Diceros bicornis minor: one gene and its partners. The protein of the gene in region 2 binds, or shares a complex with, the protein of the main gene of each other region. Links are inferred from orthologs where the notes say so. Each region holds a gene or a part of one and is shown on either strand. Other genes may lie near its edges.

Region 1 (7,175 bases), on a different chromosome or scaffold from region 2:
CATGGTTTTGAAATTAGCTTGGTTTACACTATTGTTCCTTGTAATTGTTCTTGTCATCACCTAAGTTTTATCCATAGAGGTCCACAATCCCTTAACTTCAATTCCAAAATCCAAAAGGCTGTAAAAAACAAGCTTTTCATTATTCATTTGGCGGCAAATTCTGACGTGAAATGACATGAGGCTATTTATAGTATTTATTTATCCCAGTTGGTGTGAAAATTCTGACATTTTACTACAGAAATAGTAATGTGTTTGATTACAAGGTGCTGCCCCAGAATTTTCTGGGATGTTACATAACACACAGTACATGTACCATATTCCTTTTCTAAAATCCAAAAAATTCTAAATTCAGAAACACATCTGGCCCCAAGAACTTTTTTTGTGGCCCCAAGGTAATGTGGACTGGTACACTAGTTAAGACTAAATCTTATACAGAAAATATAACTAATACTGACAATGAAGATAGATCTTCTGGGGCCAGCCCCACGGCTTAGCGGTTAAGTGCATGCGCTCTGATGCTGGCGGCCCAGGTTCGGATCCCAGGCGTGCACCGACATACCGGTTCTCTGGCCATGCTGAGGCCGCGTCCCACATACAGCAACTAGAAGGATGTGCAACTATGACATACAACTATCTACTGGGGCTTTGGGGGGAAAATAAATAAATAAAATTATAAAAAAAAAAAAGATAGATCTTCACATGCAATAAATTCAATGTCTTAACAACTATTCACACATATATAATCCTGTAAAATAAAGCATTAAAAAGACTTAACAAATGTCAAAAACCAAACACACCATTATGTGTTTTTAATGTGATGGTAACATTTGCATCATCCAATATTTAGATCAATTCCTCTTTGGTTGAAATCCACTAATTTAATGCACAGTTAAAACAGACTGCAATTGGTAATTATGTTGAGAAAAAGAATCATCCACCAATAAAGTACTCAGTAAAATGTTCTGATTTTTAAAATATTTATCTCAGAGGGTTTAAAATTTAAAATTATTTCATTCTAGAATACAATTTCTGAACATTGAATAAATTATAATTAACTTTTTCTGTGAAAGCAGAGCAGACAGGGACAGCACTTAAAGATATCTGAATGGGAAGAAGAGTTTCACAGTTCTTTCCTTCCTTCCTCCTTCAGTTGCTGCTTTTCTGGTTTTAGAATTTCAAACAAAGAAATACATATTGGCTCCACTGCTAAGAAACGCCCTCTTTCTCAGTAACTTCCTCTTCCAATTTTCTTCCCTACCATTGACATATGAGAACAATACATACTGCTGGTCCTACCATTTCGATTAATCAAAAGCTTTGAGACTTGGAAAAATTAGTGCTGCAATTTATAGTACCCAATTACCTCCCACTCCAGGTCCACAATCTTCACGCATCTAGAAGTCAGATAACAGAGAGCACAAAGACAAGAAACACTTCGCTTAATCAGAGGCAAGCTATTGAAACTTTCACTCCAGGAATCCAAAGAAATCTGAACTAACAAATGGGAAATTTCTCCCATCCCAAGAAAGCCTGGCCTTCTTAGGGAGGAGAAAGTTACTGGGCTGGCACCACTCTGAACCAAGAGTCAAGTTTATACACCAATAGTTGGTGAACTTTCTTCCACAGGCCACCCAGTCAGGATTCAAACTGAGCTCTCTGAGGTTCTGATACACTTCAATGTGACTTTTACAATTCAGAAATGGTCCTTTCCAACTCACAGACTGAACAAAGGGGATGCACGTATAATTACCCAGGCAGAGATCAAAACCTGGCCTATCTCCACGCCAGAAGTCAATTCAAGCGTCTGGGACCAGACCCTTCTCCCGCTTTGTGACAAAGCAAACTTCTTTTAAATGGGCAGTGACTTCCCCCTTGCCCAGTGACTCTCAAAGGAAATACCCTATCGTTGGTAAACTCTGCACCATACTGCGTGACCTTGGGCAAGTTACTTAACTCCTCTGAAACTTAGTTTCCTCATGTGTAAATAAAGTCTCAAAGACAGCTGTAAAAATTAAATAAGAACATATGCCTAAACAAGGTCTGGCACATAGTAGGAGCACCATAAATGTTCTCCCTTCTCTTCCTAACCTCCTTGAATTCTTTTGGGCCTAAATTTCAATCACAGCCCCAAGAGGTTCCGAAGACCCTTCCTCTTCTCTAATTCTATGCAGAACTGCATAAAACTTCCCCATCTCCGAGGCTCTAGGATCCTGGAGGACCAAGACAACCATACTCCACCCACCACAGTCTGGGGTCCATCCAGAGCCCCTTTAGGCAACTCTCCTCCTTACTCTGCAGTACCATCCTGTACACACACGTACGTGTACCCACACACACAGACAGTCCCCTCCACTACTCTGCAACTTAGCAGACCAGGGTCTCAAAGAGCACCTCAATTCTTTCATGGCCCAGAGATGGAAACTGAGGCTCCGCCCGGTGAAGACTTTACCCAAGATCTCAGACAACATCTGGCATCCAACTCATGTACATCTGCCTGCAGAGCCTTCGTTTTACCAATGGGAAAACTGAGGCCCAAAGAAGGAAGTGACTTGCCCAAGGTCACACAGAGAGCTGGTGGCAGAGCCAAGTCAGGTTGGGGCACTTTCGCAGCCTCACAGACTCGCAGGCCCCACAACTCTCCCAGGGGATCTCCGGGACACCTCCTCCTTGGGGAAGGGAGTGTAGAAAAAGACGCCACCCCTCGCGGCCCGCTCGCTCGGCCTCTGCCTGGCCGCGGCAGGAGGCGCGGCACCCACTCCCCCGGGACTCTGCGCCGCTCGGGAGGGGCGGCCCGGCCGGGCCCGGCGCCTCACGGTGGGGCCCACTCGCGGGGACTTGTTGCTCACCTGGTCTCGCGCGGTTACCCTCAGCGACAGAAGGGCCAGCCGCCCGCCCTTCTCGGCACGGGGACTGTTACCGCGGGCCGCCACGCAGGCTGCCACACAGCCAGACCCCCTCAACGCACTACGCCCCCAGCCGCGCTCCACCGGCCCGCGTCCGCCATTACGCGACTCCCCGCCCTGGGACGCAGCCACACCCCGCCAACAACCCTGATTGGCTCTCTGCCTCACCCGCCTGGGGCTTCCGGGCACTCCATTGGCCTGAGTGGAATGCCAGTTAAATTGCTACGCAAAAGACGTACTCAAGTGTACCGTCCCTGGAGCTCCACCCGAGCTACTTCCGCAATCAGAGTAAACAGCGGCGGGGCAAACCAAGTGAAGTGGGGGTGGAGATTAAACTAAATCAACTCCTAAATTCAAGGTTGGAAAATCTCCCCTAAGGAAGTGTAAAAACTCACACAAAGTTTGTTAAAAGACGAATTATTCCTATTAGAGTTCAAAGAACCAGTGTTTTTGGTGGAAGGAAGGGGCCAAGCCCAGACCTTTCTGTGGACACCCCTCGTTGCAGATGGTTCTGTCCCTTCCCTCTCGGTCGCAGGCCCGGCCGAAAGTAGGGTGGGGAAAGTGAGTCATAGGCTCCAGTCCGCCGCGGAGGGATCCGTTCGGGGCGAGGCCCGAGCTTCTGGGACTAGAAGCTGGTTTTGGCAGGCCAGGGTCGGGTAAAGTAGAACTTGGTTAAGCCGCCACGCCGCTCTGCGATTTCAGACAACTGCCTGAACTTATCTGGGTCTCAGTTTGTTCTTCTGCAAAATAGGAGCAGTCATGTCTGCCTCCTATCTTGGAGTGTTTGTTGAGGATTCATGCATGAGTCGGTATATGTGCATCTTGATTATAAAAGGCTGCAGCTGGGTATCAATGTGACAGATACACAAGTTAGCGAAGATACTTCATTTAGTTCTCTAGAGCAACTCGGTAAGGCGGATATTGTCCTCGTTTTGCAGAAGAGAAAACTGAAAACTCCATGACTTACCCTGGGTCACCCAGGGAATTTGAAACATCCTGGGACTCAAACCTGTATCTTTTGGCTTCCATTCCTGTATTTCTCCCTTCCAGGCTTGGTGTCCCCTGAGAAAGACTTTCCTCCCCCAACCCCTTAGCATTCCAGGGAGGGTCTTGAGGGTGCCAGGCCAGTCCCCCCTCTATGTGGTCACCATAGACATAGACACAGCAACCCCTTAGCTATTGTTAGTCACCAAGGTTCCAGGGAAATGTGACCCTAGAGGTGTGTCCGAGCTGTTTCTGAGGTCCTAGGAATCGGGAAGTGAGTAAGGGATGGCAGATGGGTCAGCAACCCAGACAGAATCCCAAATGAGGACACACAAGCTCCGAGAGGGACAGTGACGCTACTGTGGGCCCTCAGAGGGGCAGCTTCCATGCCAGGACTTAAATCCAGGTTTCTCTGCTCTCAGAACAGGGCTCTTTTCACTGCAGGATTGTTTTTCCCAGAAGGGCTGCCTTGGCTGTAATTCCTAGTCCCTTTCCCTCTGGAAAGGAAGGAAGCCAAGAAGAGAGTGGGAGGGAGAGCAGCCTAAGACTTTAGCAGGGCAGAGAGCACCAAGTGGGTGGTGCCAACGAGGCCCCAGTTGCCAGCTGAGTCAGTGACCTCCAGGCTCAAATTGGGATGTGTGGTCTGACAACCAGTGACTATTTAAATCCTGACTGTGGCCATTGGGTGCTGGGAGGCAGCAGGTGCTATGCAGAGGTCAGTGGCTTTGGGGTCAGACTGACCTGAGGTGGAATCCAGGCTCCAGCACTTTCTAGCTGAGCCTCACCTACCCACGTCTTCTCTAAAATGGGGAGGACAGGGCAGTTGTGAGGATTCAATGAGTTAATTGTGGAATTAATGAGTCATGTGTGTAAAGTGCCTGGGAGCTATTTATTCATTCATGGATTCATTCATTCAATAAAAAATTAAGCACCAATCATGTGTAGGGCAGCCGGCCAGTGGTGCAGCTACAATGGTGAGCAAAACAGACTCAGACCCTCATGGAGCTTAGAGTTTGGTGAGGAAGTGAGTCGTTAAACAAATGATCAGACGAATCAAAATACAGTTAGAAACTGTGATAAGGAACAAGAAGGCAAAGTACAATGTGTTTATGAGAGTGAATGTCAGGGGATGGGGTGGGGTCAGAGGAGGCTTCCTAAAGAGTTGATGTCTTGGGTGAGTTGATGAATGGGGGTTAACTAGGCAGCAGGTGGTTGGGAGAAGTGTTGCAGGCCAAGAGAAAGGGTGTGGAAGGCATCTAGGCCAATGGGGATAATGGCGATGGGGAGGAAGGGTAGAGCTCTCATGCATGCATGCCTGTACGCACGCACTCTCACACAGGGCCTAAACAAATGAGGTTTTACAGGGGAGGGAAACTGGCTTTGAGAGTGGGCTGGTCTCCAAGGGTCTCTGCTTTTCTGATAGTTCTTGAAAGAACACAAGCTTTGTGGCCAACCCACCTGGGTTTCAATCTTGGCTCTGCCATCTCACCTCGGACTGTGTGACCTTGAGCAGTCCCCACACCTCTCTGTGCCTCAGCCACTCTTCTGAGAAATGGGGATAATGATAGAGGGGCATAAAGTGGCAGTGAAGATTCAATGTTGAAATGTGTTAAAAAGTATAAAGCGTTCTGGCACATAGAAGGCGCTCCATAAACAGTGCTTGGCCTTCCCAGCATGGAGGGAGGGGAGCCTGAGGCAGCAGATCCAGCGGATGCGTTAGGGAGAGAGCTGATGTAAGCGTCTATGCACTGGGCGAGTTGTCATCTGACTTTAATTGTCAGAGAAGACTGGAGCCAGGCAGCCTGGGTTCAAATCACAGTTTACCACTTCCTAGCAGTGTGACCTTGGGCAGGTGACTTCATCTCTCTGAGCCTCAGTTTCCTTATCTGCAAAATGGGAATCATAGTTGTTTCTATTTCCCAGAGCTGTGAAGATTAAGTGAGATAATAAATGTGAAGGACTTAGCACAGTGATTGGCACATAGGAAGCAGTTGTTGGATGTTAATTTTAATAATAATAATTATTATTTTCTTTTAATAATTTTATTTATTTTTTTTTCCCCCAAAGCCCCAGTAGATAGTTGTATGTCATAGCTGCATTTCCTTCTAGTTGCTGTATGTGGGACACGGCCTCAGCATGGCCGGAGAAGCGGTGCGTTGGTGCGCACCCGGGATCCGAACCCGGGCCGCCAGCAGCGGAGCGCGCGCACCCAACCGCTAAGCCACGGGGCCGGCCCTTAATAATAATTATTGATATCAGTATACTACCTATACTAGGTAAGATTCTGGGGCTTTGCTTGAAGGTTGTTTGGCAACAGGAGCCTTAGTTTCTCCTTTTAGGCAATGGAGATAGACAAGTTGCTTTCAGAGGGGGTGGTGCTGTGCATTTTAATAGTAATTAAATTGATATTAACCAATAAGCACTAACATTGAGCATTTACTCTGTGCCAGCCCTGTGCTAAGTGCTTTACATGCATTAACTCATAAATCCTCATAGCAATCCTATAAGTTAGGTCCTGTTATCATCATCATTTTACAAATGAGATAAAAGAAGCACAAAGAGGTTCAGTGACTTGCCCAAGGCCACCCAGTCAGGAAGCAGCAAGGCTGGAATTTAAACCCAACCTGGGAACTCGGACCGAATTCGGAATTCAGGAGGGCTTGCTGCTCTTGAGGGCAAGCCCTCCTTCTTCCCAGGGAGTTAGAGTTATCGTGTGGAGCAATGAATTCTTCACTGCCTGGAGCAAGTCCCCAGGTTCTGAGGGCCAAGCCTCCATTCCTTTCCTACCAATTCTAAAAAATAACCCTTGCCTGTTCCCTGTCCCCTAAGGCTGATAAGAGCAGGGAGCAGATACTCTTCCTCTGCAAGGGGAAGCAAAAAGACATTTAGAGTCCCTTAGAACTGGCTCTGAGTCCCAACTTTGCCACTTCACGGCTCTGTAATCTCAGCCAAGTCACGCCCCCTCTCTGAGCCTCAGTTTCCTTATCTATAAAATAGGTATGATAACAGCTCTGCCTACAGGGCTGTTGTGAGGAGCAGAAAAAATAAGGCCTGCATAAACTATAAAGTGCTGTCAGCACAAGAGTTCCTCTCATTGTTGCTATAGGGATAGCAAGCACTCTGGGAAACCAGCCTGAACCAGTATAGCAGGCAAATTGCCATCTCTGGAAACAGTCCTGGGTTTGAGTCCCAGATCTGCCTTTTATGTCTGTGTGACCTTGGGCACGTTATATAACCTGGCTGAGCCTCAGTTTTTTCATCTATAGAATGGAGTGCATCATACTGATC
Region 2 (6,868 bases):
AGGGGTCGCCCCGATGGTGTAGCGGTTAAGTTCACGTGCTCCGCTTCACAGCCCAGGGTTCACAGGTTCGGATCCCAGGCGCGGACCAACACACCACTCATCAAGCCACGCGGTGGCGGCATCCCATATACAAAACAGAGGAAGATGGGCACAGATGTTAGCTCAGAGCTAATCTTCCTCAGCAAAAAGAGAAGGATTGGCAATGGATGTTAGCTCAGAGCCAGTTTTCCTCACACACACAAAAAAGCACCCAGTCAATAACTTAACTCACCTGGGTATAAAAAATTCTCAAAACACAAGCGACCATACACTTTCCCTGAGAAGAGGTATGTTTATGCAGGCTGTTGATTATAACCCAATCAGGGTCACAGAAGGGATACAGAAAGATCTCAAAAGACATCTAAATGGATATTTCTAGTACTACTTGTTCCCTATTCACAGCACCAAAGTTAGCAGCACAGCACATCATGAAGTCAGCTACCACATCAACTTCCAGAAAGTCTCCATCATCTTCCCAGCCTGTCTGAGCCTGACCCTGTCTGAGCCTCTTGGCAAGGCAGCTAGTGGCCTGCATCACATAGCCCAAAGTTTAAATGCTACTAAGATAAACATTGCTATGTGTGAATTTCATCTTTTTTCCCCCCAGTAAGATCAGCATACTTCACCAGTGTCAAGTTTAAGACCGCCAAAAAAAATTAGGGGCCACTAACAGTGGCTCTTGGCACCATGGTACTAACATGTTTAAAAGTAAGAGACTACATGAAAAATAACATGACTTATCTTAATTAACGGATATTACCAAGTTTAGAAGTGTTTCAAAGTTATGTGATGGTAGCAGGAGGGGAAAAGGAAAGGTAGCAGGGGGAAAAAAAGCCTTAGATCACACAACTACCTGAAAAAAAAATAGTCAACAGACAGGTTAAAACACGTTTGCATTTGCCAAGACGTAGCAGTTACCACACCATATATTTGTCAGATTTCCCAACATGCAGAACAAAAAGAAGCCACCCCTTCATGAAGCGATTATCTGCTGACTTCTACAAAGAAATGATTTTTCTAGAATGAGGGCAATATAACTTCCTGTGACTTTGACTTTCAAAATCTTTAAAACATTCAGCCAATTGAGATTTGCCTCAATTTTAAGGCTTTTCATGTTAAGTTAAATAAAAGGTGTATATTTTTAATATCGATAAACTACAAGATCACTTTTCTATTTAAAAACCATATCCACATTTCTAACATAATTCAGAATATTTTTAAAAGGCTAAATATAAAGTTTGCAAAAACAAATAATACAGTAGACATGGCAAGCATTCAACAAGTTTATTTATCAGTAGAATTCCTAAAGTAAAAGCTTGAAAAAATTTGAGATAAATTCCTACCAGTACTACTGAAGATACAATGTTACTAATACGGAAACTGAGAATATTCAAAATATTCTGAAAACAGTATCTCCTTCTAAAAATAAAGCTGAAAACCATTTGCCAACACAAACTATTGATTTTTAAAAACGATAATCACATGGGAGGCATTTCTATACATACTTCAGTTGTGAATTGCAATACCCCTAACCTTTCAAAGCACGTTCTGGTCATGCCTTACCACTAACAAGCGACTTTTTGGTGCCATTATATTGATACAAAGGCCTCTGCTAATTGGCTTCTACTGCAAACTGCTGGTTTACGCAAAGATCTACAAACCAAACTACCACAACATAATTCACTTTCAATCACTAAAATAAAAACGAACAAGCAAGCATCTGTCACAGAAAAGGCCCCAAGAATCTGCTAATAAATTTACAGTAAGACACTTTACGTTATGATTTTAAGACTAAATATGTCCTATAATCTACTTAATTTATATTCTACACATTTACTTAGATTGGAAAGAGAGAAACCTCAGAAAATAAGCAACCGGCGATTACACCATTCTATTTTAAGTTACTTAGGAAGCCAACAGTTCAAGAACTTTTGGGGACGAGAGCGTATTTAAGGCATTTTTCCAAGCGGTTAAGAACAATCTGTGTTTTATAGTAACGATAGCCCTAACAACCTCTAGAATAGATTACGGTGGGGCGGAAGTGAAAACGATGAGAGGGAAAAACCCGACTTGCAAACGGACAGGCAGGCAGATTTACAAACCTTCAATTAAAGGAATTTTGAGATTAACTTCTCTTCTACGCCCTCCCTCGCTCCCCACCCGCTTCCTCCCCTCCTTGGGGAGGTCTGTGTAATGTGACTCATGACAAATTTTTTAAAAAATAAATAAATAAAAGACACACCCTCTGGGTTGAACTGACAAAACCGCCCCCACCCCAGCCTCCCCCGCCGCACGCCCCGCTTTTCCTCTCTCCCTGCGCCTCGTCCCTGCCCTTCCCTCTCCCCTCGCTGCCCGTCCCAGACCCCTCTCCCGGCGGCGGGGCGGCCGCCGGCTCTCCGGGACAGCACCGGGGAAGGGAGGGCTGCGGGGGGCGGCGCGACTGGGGGCCGAGCCGCGGGGAGGCAGACGGCAGGGGGCTCCGGGCTCCCTCGCCCGCTTCCTCGCTCCCCTTCTGTCGGTTTCACCCACCACAGCCACTTCCTGTATGGCAGCCCGAAACCCTCACCCGACCACTCGCTCTCTCCCCGGCTGGGATTTGGGGCTGGGGCTGGGGTTGGGGCTGAGGCGGCCGCCGAGGTTAGGGCACTTCCCCACCCCGCCCAGCGGGCTGGTCACTCGGGCGGCCGGCGGCGGGGTCCTCGGCCCGGCCGGCCAGCGCCCGCCCGCGCGCCTCACCTGTATGTAGTTGTTCTCACAGTAGTCGGCCACCCGCGTCAGGTTCTGGTAACTCTCTATCAGCGCCCTCTTGCCGGACGGGATCTCCTCCTCTAGTAACATCTGCAGCTCTGCCATTTTCCACCCCTCCGCATCGCTTCCTCTCGCGTTAAAGAGACAGAAGCAGCAAGGTCCGCGGAGCCTCCGAGCACCTCACAGCCCGGATACAAACCGCCTACCCGCCCTCCCGCCTGGTATTGTGGGACGGCACCTCCTCCTCTTCCTCCTCGCTCTCTCCACCCCCTCCTCCCACTTCGCGCAGCCGCCGCAACCTCGTTTTCTCGCGAGCCTTCGGGTCTTTCCCTCCCCCGCCCCTCGACCACGGGATTCCCCCCCACCCCCGGCATGGTCTTCTGGGAAGTGTAGTCTCTCACAGGCTAGGTTAGCCATCAAAGGCGCATGCGTCCAAGGAGCCTCCGAAAAAGCACGTCAACTCAAGGGTCGGGGGTTAAGTCTGGAGTTTCCTGACAGCTCCGGGAGATGGCGCCACAGGGTGATTGAAGAGAATAAAACCGGTTCCTCCTGAGAAGGCTGTGAAACTTGGCAGAACTTGGTTAATTAGGAAATGTCAGTGAATCAGAGATATCAACTCTGATAAGAATTAAAAAGGGCTAGAATATGGAAAAATTCTAATCTTTACTTCCTCAATCTTCTTAGAGATAGCGCAACTCGGGCTTTACTTTCTAAACTTCCGCCACCCTCAATTCATTTAAAATTTAGCAAATATGTGTTATCGCCAGCTCTGTACTGTAACAAATAATGCAAGAAACATTGGGAGTACAAGTTGAGTAAGGATACTCTATACTCTTAAACACTCACAATTTAAAAATAAACATAATTTTTAGTGCTATCTTTAATCTCTTTTTCTTTGACTCTTCTTTGCACGTATCTATCTACAATTTTGAAGTTATGTACACGTTATCTATGCTGTATAAAATTATTTTGGTTTCTTTTGTTATCAACTGCTTTGGAATAGTCTAAAAGGCCCTATATTTCAAGGATTTCATTTCAACAGGATCATTAAATACTTTTGATATAATGGGCTATGAAAGTGTCCAAAGGTAGAAAAGGAAACTAATTTAAAGATCATTTAAATATCCATATTTTCATCTCTCTATGAAGTCGTTTAGAATCACAATAACTATAGGAATAATAATGTGGCTCAACCAGATTTTAAAAAATTGACCCATCAATAGGTATTTATTGAATATTGCCCATACTAGGGGCCATAAAATGCTCAACCTCTACAAGGAAAAACTTTAGTCTCCTACCTGAAAGAGATAATCAGCCCCACCCACCAGATTCCCAATCAAGGATTCTAAGGTCCATCAATAAATAAATGGCTTACTCTCAATAATTATCTGGAATAGACATAATAGTCTTTCTTTAATATTTATCGTTAATCCAAACATTATTTAATCCAATATTAAAATTTGATGTATTCTTGAACTTGGTCTCTACATGAGCCAGATTTAGCTATGGAAATCACTAAGTTCGTTTATATCCATATGTTGATACGTTTCAACAACATTGGGGGAGGGGTCAGACAGGTGATGCTGCTTTACTACTTTCAAAGTAGTATCAAATTTCTTTAATGCTCACAAGTCTGAAAGATAAATGACCTAAAGATTCCTTTCTACTTTACCAAATAAGGAAATTTAAGCTTAGACAGGTTAAGAGATATAGCTAAGGGCGCTGAAAACAGTAGTAAAGTCCTCTGACTGCCAGATCAGTGGTCTTTCCACTATTCAGTTAAAACACTTGTGGTTCAAATAAAGTCCATTCAAAGAAGTTATCCCTCATACCTCTAAGGTGATTGAATTGAATATGCTACCTTTTGTTTTTGTTTTTGTTTTTTGTGAGGAAGATCAGCCCTGAGCTAACATCCATGCTAATCCTCCTCTTTTTGCTGAGGAAGACCGGCTCTGAGCTAACATCCATTGCCTAATCCTCCTCCTTTTTTTCCCCCAAAGCCCCCCAGTAGATAGTTGTACGTCACAGTTGCACATCCTTCTAGTTGCTGTATGTGGGACAGGGCCTCAGCATGGCCAGAGATGCGGTGCGTCAGTGCGCGCCTGGGATCCAAACCCGGGCCGCCAGTAGCAGAGCGCACGCACTTAACCGCCAAGCCACGGGGCCGGCCCTGTATTTTTATTAAAAAAAAAAAAAAACAGTTTCCCTGATAATTGTAGACTATAATCAGGCAATATTTCTTTACTTGAAACCAAAGGGAATTTGAGGGGATAAAACCATAAAACACAGCACCATACTGTAGCCATTGACTTTCAGCATTTATTGACACTAAAATTTATATGGAACGACAAAAGACTTCAAATAGCAAAAGCAATCCTGAGGAGAAAGAACAAAGCTGGAGGGCCAGGCCCAGTGGCCTAGAGGTTAAGTTCAGCATGCTCCACTCAGTGGCCTGGGTTCAGTTCCCGGGGGGCAGACCTACATCACTCATCTATCAGCTGCCATGCTGTGATGGCAGCTCACATACAAAATAGAGGAAGATTGGCAACAGATGTTAGCTCAGGGTGAATTTTCCTCAGCAAAAAAAAAAGAAGAACAAAGCTGGAGGCATCACAATCCCTGACTTCAAACTATACTACAAAGCTATAGTAATCAAAACAGCATGGTACTGGCACAAAAATAGACACATAGATCAATGGAACAGAATTGACAGCTCAGAAATAAACCCACAAATCTATAGACAGCTAATCTTCAAGAAAGGAACCAAGAACATAGAATGGAGAAAGGAAAGGCTCTTTGATAAATGGTATTGGGAAAACTGGACAGCCACATGCAAAAGAATGAAAGTAGACCATTATCTTATACCATACACATAAATTAACTCAAAATGGATTAAAACTGTGAAGGTAAGATGTGAAACCATAAAACTCCTAGAAGAAAATATAGGTGGTACACTCTTTGACATTGGTCTTAGCAGCATCTTTTCGAATATCATGTCTACTCAGGCATGGGAAACAAAAGAAAAAATAGACAAATGAGACTACATCAGACTAGAGCTTCTGCAAGGCAAAGGAAAGCAGGAACAAAACAAAAAGACAACCCACCAAGTAGGAGAAAATATTTGCAAATCATACATCCCACAAGGGGTTAATCTCCAAAATATGTAAAGAACTCATATAACTCAACAACAAACAAACAAACAATCCAATCAAAAAATGGGCAGAGGATATGAACAGATGTTTTTCCAAAGAAGATATACAGATGGCCAATAGGCACATAAAAAGATGTTCAACGTCACTAATCATTAGGGAAATGCAAATCAAAACTACAATGAGATATCACCTTACACCTGTTAGAATGGCTATAATTACCAAGACAAAAAATAACAAATGTTGGAGAGGACGTGGAGAAAAGGGAACCCTCATACACTGCTGGTGGGAATGCAAACTGGTCCAGCCACTATGGAAAACAGTATGGAGATTTCTCAAAAAATTAAAAATAGAAATACCATATGATCCAGCTATCCCACTACTGGGTATTTATCCAAAGAAGTTGAAATCAACAGTTCACAGAGGCTTATGCACCGCTATGTTCATTGCAGCACTATTCACAATGGCCAAGACCTGGAAGCAACCCAAGGGCCAAACAACTGACAAATAGATAAAGAAGATATGGTGTATATATATATACAATGGAATATTACTCAGCTATAAAAAGACGACAAAATGGTTCCATTTGCAACAACATGGATGAAACTTGAGGGTATCATGTTAAGTGAAATAAGCCAGACAGAGAAAGACAAACACGTATGATTTCACTCATATGTGGAAGATAAACAAACACGTGGACAAAGAGAACAGGTTAGTGGTTACCAGAGGGGAAGAGGGTTGGGGGGTGAGTGAAAGGGGTAAAGGGGCACATGTATATGTTGATGGATAAAAATTAGACTATTGGTGGCCAGCACAATGCAGTCTATACAAAAATTGATATATAATAATGTACACCTGAAATTTCACGGTGTTATAAACCAATATGACCTCAAAAACAAACAAACAAATGGGATTTGTGGGGACAAAACCAT
Region 3 (6,917 bases), on a different chromosome or scaffold from region 2:
AAAACTTACATCATATTGGCTGGAACATTAGTCCTATGGCTACACTAGGCTGCAAGGGAGGCTGGGAGATGTAGTCTTTATTCTATTTCTAAAGGAGAAAGAAACAACAGCTATTGAAGGATAATCAATGACCCTGTCACAGTCAGCGACTGTGATAAAGATAATTTTCAAATTATCTTTATTATCCTTGAGTCCTCAAAAGTCATCTTTTGTTCTCCCATTTTTTTTTTACATTTCTTCTTCTTCGTTGAATTTTTTTCCCTATCTTAGCATTCATAAGCTTACATATTTTCTGTTCCACTTCTCTTTCTGGCTTTATTTCTCATTGTTTCTTTCATGTATGTAATGAACATTCTTATTATTTCCAGCACTTTCCTACTATTTTGCATTCACCAAAGTCGAACCTTTTGCCTAGAATGTCATTTTCTACAAGTTTATAAGTCCAAGACTTACTTCTCATTCAAGGCCCAAGGGTAAGGTATTGCAAAAGGGCTCTTAGCAACTTCAGCTTGAAACTGTTCTTTCTAGGTCTTCTCTTATAGCCCTGTATTTCAGGCCTCCTTATATTAGACTTCCTTATGTATATTTCTATTCTCACCAGGATGTGAGTTCAAGGAAATCAAAATCTAGATCTTATACAGCTTCATATCTCCTTTAGAACAACAGTACTTTGCATACTTTAAGTATTTGATTGTTTAATGTATTACATAGAATTGAAAAGTATTCTTTAAATCCATCCAGGATTGTTACTATAAATGACTGAATGTTTTGTAATAATACATATATAAAAGCTGTGTATCATAGATTTGTTTCTGAAATTTTATGAGTAGAAGTTTATAATTGAATCATTGTAAAATATATTTGGGTGCCACAAAATGTAATTCTATTATAAATACTTTTATAAAGTCAACCTCACTTCTCCTTCAATTTAAGTATTTTCCAGTTTGGATTTTCAAATGCTTACATTCCTTAGAGTGGGTACCATTATACTTGTCTCAATAAAAATAATTTTTCAAACATAGATACATAACTTTTTATTTATTTATTTTTTAAGATTTTATTTATTTATTTTTTCCCCCCAAAGCCCCAGTAGATAGTTGTATGTCATAGCTGCACATCCTTCTAGTTGCTGTATGTGGGACTCGGCCTCAGGATGGCCGGAGAAGTGGTGCCTCGGTGCGCGCCCGGGATCCGAACCCGGGCCACCAGCATCGGAGCGCGCGCACTTAACCACCAAGCCACGGGGCTGGCCCGATACATAACTTTTTAAAAGTCAGATTTATTGAGATATAATTTACATACAGTAAAATTTACACTTTTTTAGGCATACTGGTCTATACTAGTTAACTTTACTAGTTAATTTTCTAAGATTACTACAAATATGAAGCTATCATCTACTTGCTACGTCTCTCTGAAGGCTTATAATAATTTCAGTGATTTCTGAATATGTTCTGGGGACAAACAGCAGAAATCTCTTAACTGAAGTGAAACTATTTGAAAATCTTTAGTACCAAAGGAACTGTGAAGACAATGCTTTGTATGATGAGGTAAATAAAATTTTCAATCGTGCTTTTTAAAATTTAGTTTCCTAATCATTTAAAAAATATTATGGTTTTCCAGAAAACTACAACAGGAAAAAAAATCCACAACAGGAGCAATTTTTCATAATAACTTTACAGGCTGATTCACATGGTATGGCATATTCTCAAAGACTGAAAACCTGAAAGTAAATATAAAATGACATATAGTAATTACAATAGCCATAAATCATACATGCATAGCAAAATATATGATTATTACCTTAGCACTGACAGTATATTTATACTACACATATAGGCAAACTTTGAAAGGGTTGGATCTTAATAACAAAATACTTTTTGATGCAAAATGCAGAGAAATGCAAGAATTGTAAATACTTCATCTAGACCTAATCTCTTTTACTCAAATAGACATATTCCACTCAGTCTAGGGCCAATATGTCTAAAAATTAGTTGTAATAAATATTGAATGAGACTACTATTTTCAGAGTTCTCCCTTTATTGGGTACTCTCTGCGTTATAAGCAGCTATAAGCGTTCAAGTTCAGATGGAAACATGATATGGCTTTTTTGAGGAGTAACAGTTGTGTTCAAATTATATGGTGCCATTTTCTTGTTCTCGCTATACGGCACTTTTGAAAAACTAGAAAATGATGTAAGCTTTCACTGGTAGGACTCTGAAATTCTGACTCTAGTTAAATTTGCTTGTGGTCCTCTAAAGGAGCACATCTTTCCCCCAACATTCAACACCTTTCAGTTTTCCCATCTGACTGCCCCAAACCCCTCATGCAGCCTCCCTTCTCCCAGCTGTGCTCTCACTTTCTCAGGCTCCAGACACTGGTCGCCTCTAAATTAAAATTTTAACTATCAGGTTGGAAAGTAACCAGATAAATTAAATCCCCTAACGTGTTATTGACTAATAATAGCTCAATAGGTGATCTCTCTGAGGTGTTTGTATTTAAAACAAACAAAAAGGATTCTAGGTACAAAGCCTTCATTTAAGGCAATGAAATTCTATGCATAGAATTTCAAGCACAATGTCAGGTATGATAGACTTTCTGGTGGATGTAGGACTCTTTGTAACGGCCTTTAAATGCAATCCATTCCATTAACTCCCTCTCTCTCGTTGGGATATTGAAATGAAGATTTCCGTAGGAATAGTACATTTATTAGCTTTAAAAAATGTTTTAAAATCTATTCGTCACAATTTCCTTTTCATAAAGTTTTGATCAATCCAATGATAGCTTATTTACTCTTAAAATGTCTTTTATTGAAGGTGGCAGAACATTTTGTCACTCACTTAAAATTAATGAACATAATATAAGATCAACACATTGAAGGAAATCAAGGCCAAAAATACTAAAATGGCTTCAATTGTCTTGGCTAGAATACCTCACCCCAGTCAATTACATAAGTCCTTGATTTGTTCACTTTTGGAATCGTGTCTAATATATTTGACCAAAGGGAGTAGTCTTGGAGCCTGGCTGGGAAGAAATTGATCAGGAAAGAAACAATGAGATAGAAAAGTAGAATGTTTCCAAGAAGGGGTAGGATTTAGGGTGGAGGTCAGAAAAAAATGGGGGCGTTCCTTCATTCATTGAACATTTTATTTTTGGCCTTCCACATGCCAGGGCCTCTCTATTAGCGTTTTCTCCGGATGGGTGCTCCTCGTCGGCAAATTCCGGATTCTGATTATCTCAGGAACTTGAGTCGCCCTCACTTCCGACCTCCTCTCTCACAAACTGCCTTGAGGCGGGGGAGTAGCGATGGGATGGGGAGGATGGGAGAGGCGATGCCCGCCTCGCGGAGCACAACATCTGCTATGTTCAGCGGAAAGCGTCTGTCAAGCAGTGGGAGGAAAAAAAGCTTGGAGCCACCAGCCCACTCTTAGGCGAAACTCGCCTGAAACCCACCCACTCCGGGCTTCTGCTGCTTTCTTTGGGGAGGTGGGGCGGAAAAGCAACTTTTGGGAACTTGAAGGAGAGGGGCGTGGGGCGAAGTGGGACGAGCGTAGAAACGTGACCCGCCTCGATCCCGGGTTAGGACTCGCATGCCGGGATCAGGCGCAGTGGGCGGGCCGGGCCGGGTCTGGGGCCCGAGCCGGGTCCCGAGCGGCGGCGAGGCGGGGCGGGGAGGGCGAGGGCCCCCCAGGCGCAGTTCTCCGTCCGGCCTCGCGGGGGCGCCGGCGCGACCGATCAGGTGACCGAGCGCTCGTCCGGGGCTGCGAGAAGCGGCCTCGTTCTCAGCCGCCGGAGACGCCGCCGCCGCCGCCACACCTAGTGGAGGAGCCCGGGAAGGCGGCTCGGTGGGGGCTGGGGCGGAGAGCGCCGGGGGTGGGGACGGAAAGGCGGCGGGCGGAAGGCAGGAGGCTGCCGGGGCGCAGGCTGCTGCGGGGGAAGGGACCCCGAGGCGTCCGCCGCGGCTCGCTCTGTCACCGGCGCGGGATTGGGACGCCCGGGCCATGGGCGCGCTCCCCTGAGGCGGAGGTCGCGGGCGGGAGGGGAGGAGGCCCGGGAGAGGCTGCCGCGGAGGCCGCGGGCCGGGGACTGGGCGCGAGGCGGCCGGCGGCGGCGGCGGCACCACCACCACCACCTCCTCCACCACCTCCTCCACCACCATGTCGCGCTCGGTGCTGCAGCCCAGTCAGCAGAAGCTGGCGGAGAAGCTCACCATCCTCAACGACCGGGGCGTCGGCATGCTCACCCGCCTCTACAACATCAAGAAGGTGCGCACGGGCCGGCGAGGCCGCGGCGGGGGCGGCGGGCGGGCCGAGGAGGGATGGAGGGCAGGGGCGGCCGGGGTGAGGGCGGCGGGCGGCGCCCGGGGCAGAAATCACGGCCTCGCCGCCGCAGGCCCGGCCCGGGGTCGCCAGGATGCGCCGCGGCCTAATGCGGAGTCCGGGCGCCTCCCCGGTGGCTCGCGGGCCGGCCGGAGGCCGAGAGGAGCCATTTCCCGGCTTCTGGCGCCGGAATCCGGCCGGGCCCGGCTGCGGGTGAGGGTCGCTGCCGCCCCCTCCCCGGCACCCCCGCCCCCGAACGGGGTACACTGGAAAAGGAGGGTGGCGGGGGGGGGCGAGATTGGGGGGGAATAGGAGAACTTGGGTGTTCCCTAACTGGGGTTGAATGGTAGGAATCTGGCGGAGATGGTAGCAGTTTTTTCTGGATTTTTTTGGTGTGTAAGTGTGGGAATGTGGGAAAGGAATGCCTAATCAGGATGAACCCCACATCCCCTCCACTTTGCCACTTTATTTTAGATTGCTAAATAAAAGCCATTTGAGAGCGGGTTGACCGTTTGAGATCATGTCATTTCGGAGGTGGAGAGGAGGGGGAAGTGAGGGTGGAACCAATTTTCTTCTGAAATACTCCTGGGCTGTGAGTCACTAGAACAGGAATAACAACCTTCTCTCCCTTCCCTCTTTACTCCTCCTCATCTTGGTTTTTCCAGCCCTGTCTGATAGTACCCAAACACCATTTCTTAAAGTTCGGCGTCGGTACAAAATAAAAACTGTGGGTATGTCGCTGTCACTGCTGATTTATAGCATATGCTGATAATTTGAGTAGCTGTAGCTAATAGGCCCATTGAAAGTCTTCATATGGCTTCAGCAGATTAAGGAATGGAAGGCTGAGTTGGAATTAAGAAAAATAAATGTAAAGATAGAACAAATATTATATTAATTTATCTCTAAGAGAAAACAAGCAAAATCCTTTTGAAGACAAGGTTAGTAAATTTTAAAGAATTTGTTAAGAGAAAATGAGAGAGATTTTTTGGTACAATCTAGATCCTTAGAGTTTCCAATGTGTATTTGATGTCATGTCTTCATAATAATTTTTGTTGGCTTTTTAGTATATCATAAATATTTCTTTCATGGCAATAGAATGTTAGTGCTTGTAAATTAGGGCTGCTGAAGAAAGAATATCTTTTTGAAATTCCTATCATGGGGTTCAAGTATAAAACTAAACAATTTGATGTAGACATTGTAATTATAAAGGAGAAAACTGACCTGACTTAATAGTGATAAATATTGCATAAGGATAGCAATGCTCCCAGTTGCTCACCTGGATGCAAGGATTGATTGACTCTAAACTCAGTGCAATTTGGAGAGTAACTGCAACATGCCTATTCAGTTGGTTATATTTTATGTGGCAGGAGCTCAGTGTCATTAGAAAGAAGCCCTCTGCATTTATCAGAGAGCCTTGGTTATACATTTATGTAGGTTGGGAATAATTTAATTTTAGGTAGTATTACTTATAGGTTGCATTGACCTAAACTTTTTTGTGAGCATTATACTCCTTAACAAAGTTGGAAATTGGTTCCTATCTGAACTTGTCCAAAAAACGAACAAGTCAAACATTACTAAAAGTTACTAGACCTGTGGTATTGTGGTTAAAGGAAATGGTTATGATGGTTTCCAGAAGAGGAAGTGAGAGTTAACATCAAAAGTGATTTGGGTATTTGGGCAAAATAGGTTTTTTTAAGCCTTCGTTCAACATTTTTATGGTGTAAATACAATCAAACTTTGCATAATCCACCTTCATAAATTAACTAAGATTATACTAAATTCGAAGCATTTGAACTCTTATAATTTCAGTTCACTGTCTTTTCTCAAAAGTGTCTTTTTTCACTTCCTGTTTTGAGAAACTTGAGGCTCTTGTATTACTGCACTAGTAAAATTTAAAATGAGTTGAATGTGATCATTATATCCTAGTGTCAAATATTTTGAGTTATTGAAATGTTATATTTCAACACTTAACATATTTATGGTTTGTTGAGAAGTATTTTATCTACCTTGCCTGATTGTGAGTTCCCTCTGGGCAGGGACAGTGTTACTCACTTTTGAGTTACTGGTACTTAGGGCCTCAGGTGGTCCATGAGGCCTTCAGTTAGGCCTTGTTGAAACGGATGAATATTATGTATATTATATTATATGTATATATTTAACATATATATGAGTGTGTGTGTATAATCTTGCTCTAGTTTTAATAATTTTTGGTTTGCTTTCCTTGAATAATTTTGCATACAAATGCATCAGATTTTGAATCTTTCAGCCTCTGCAGAGTTGTCTAAGACTGGCATATCTTCCCGGCTGGCTAGGAATTGAAACATTTGTTCAAAAATTTTGCCAAAATGAGTAAGATCTGTTCACCAAGTGTTTATAAGGTTCATGCTGTCTGCATTTTTATGACAGTATAAACCACGTGATCTTTTCAGTCTCAATCTTCTGGTCCTCAAAAAAACCTCCCACCACATAGTACATGTCCACCACTCAATTATCACATTTTTATTAATGCATGTGTGCATTAGATTGTCTATCAGATCTGGTTACTTTGCTGTTTTAATTGCAAGTCTGCAATGGAAATATTTTAGTGAGCATACACAATGA

The links. Proteins that work in one complex are often made in the same cells at the same time.
Region 1: ABI1 (region 2) and WASF2 share a complex: the UniProt entries of both Homo sapiens proteins name them as parts of the WAVE2 complex. The link is inferred for Diceros bicornis minor from reciprocal best matches to the Homo sapiens genes ABI1 and WASF2.
Region 3: ABI1 (region 2) and NCKAP1 share a complex: the UniProt entries of both Homo sapiens proteins name them as parts of the WAVE2 complex. The link is inferred for Diceros bicornis minor from reciprocal best matches to the Homo sapiens genes ABI1 and NCKAP1.

What each region holds. Positions count from the first base shown.
Region 1 is NC_080752.1:43,073,532-43,080,706, forward strand, and holds the start of WASF2 (actin-binding protein WASF2), read right to left. Parts: upstream 3,015-7,175; 5' UTR 2,847-3,014; intron 1-2,846. UniProt on the Homo sapiens protein: Downstream effector molecule involved in the transmission of signals from tyrosine kinase receptors and small GTPases to the actin cytoskeleton. Promotes formation of actin filaments. Part of the WAVE complex that regulates lamellipodia formation.
Region 2 is NC_080775.1:25,872,603-25,879,470, forward strand, and holds the start of ABI1 (abl interactor 1), read right to left. Parts: upstream 3,005-6,868; 5' UTR 2,893-3,004; coding exon 2,776-2,892; intron 1-2,775. UniProt on the Homo sapiens protein: May act in negative regulation of cell growth and transformation by interacting with nonreceptor tyrosine kinases ABL1 and/or ABL2. May play a role in regulation of EGF-induced Erk pathway activation. Involved in cytoskeletal reorganization and EGFR signaling.
Region 3 is NC_080749.1:62,921,902-62,928,818, reverse strand, and holds the start of NCKAP1 (nck-associated protein 1), read left to right. Parts: upstream 1-3,903; 5' UTR 3,904-4,154; coding exon 4,155-4,262; intron 4,263-6,917. UniProt on the Homo sapiens protein: Part of the WAVE complex that regulates lamellipodia formation. The WAVE complex regulates actin filament reorganization via its interaction with the Arp2/3 complex. Actin remodeling activity is regulated by RAC1.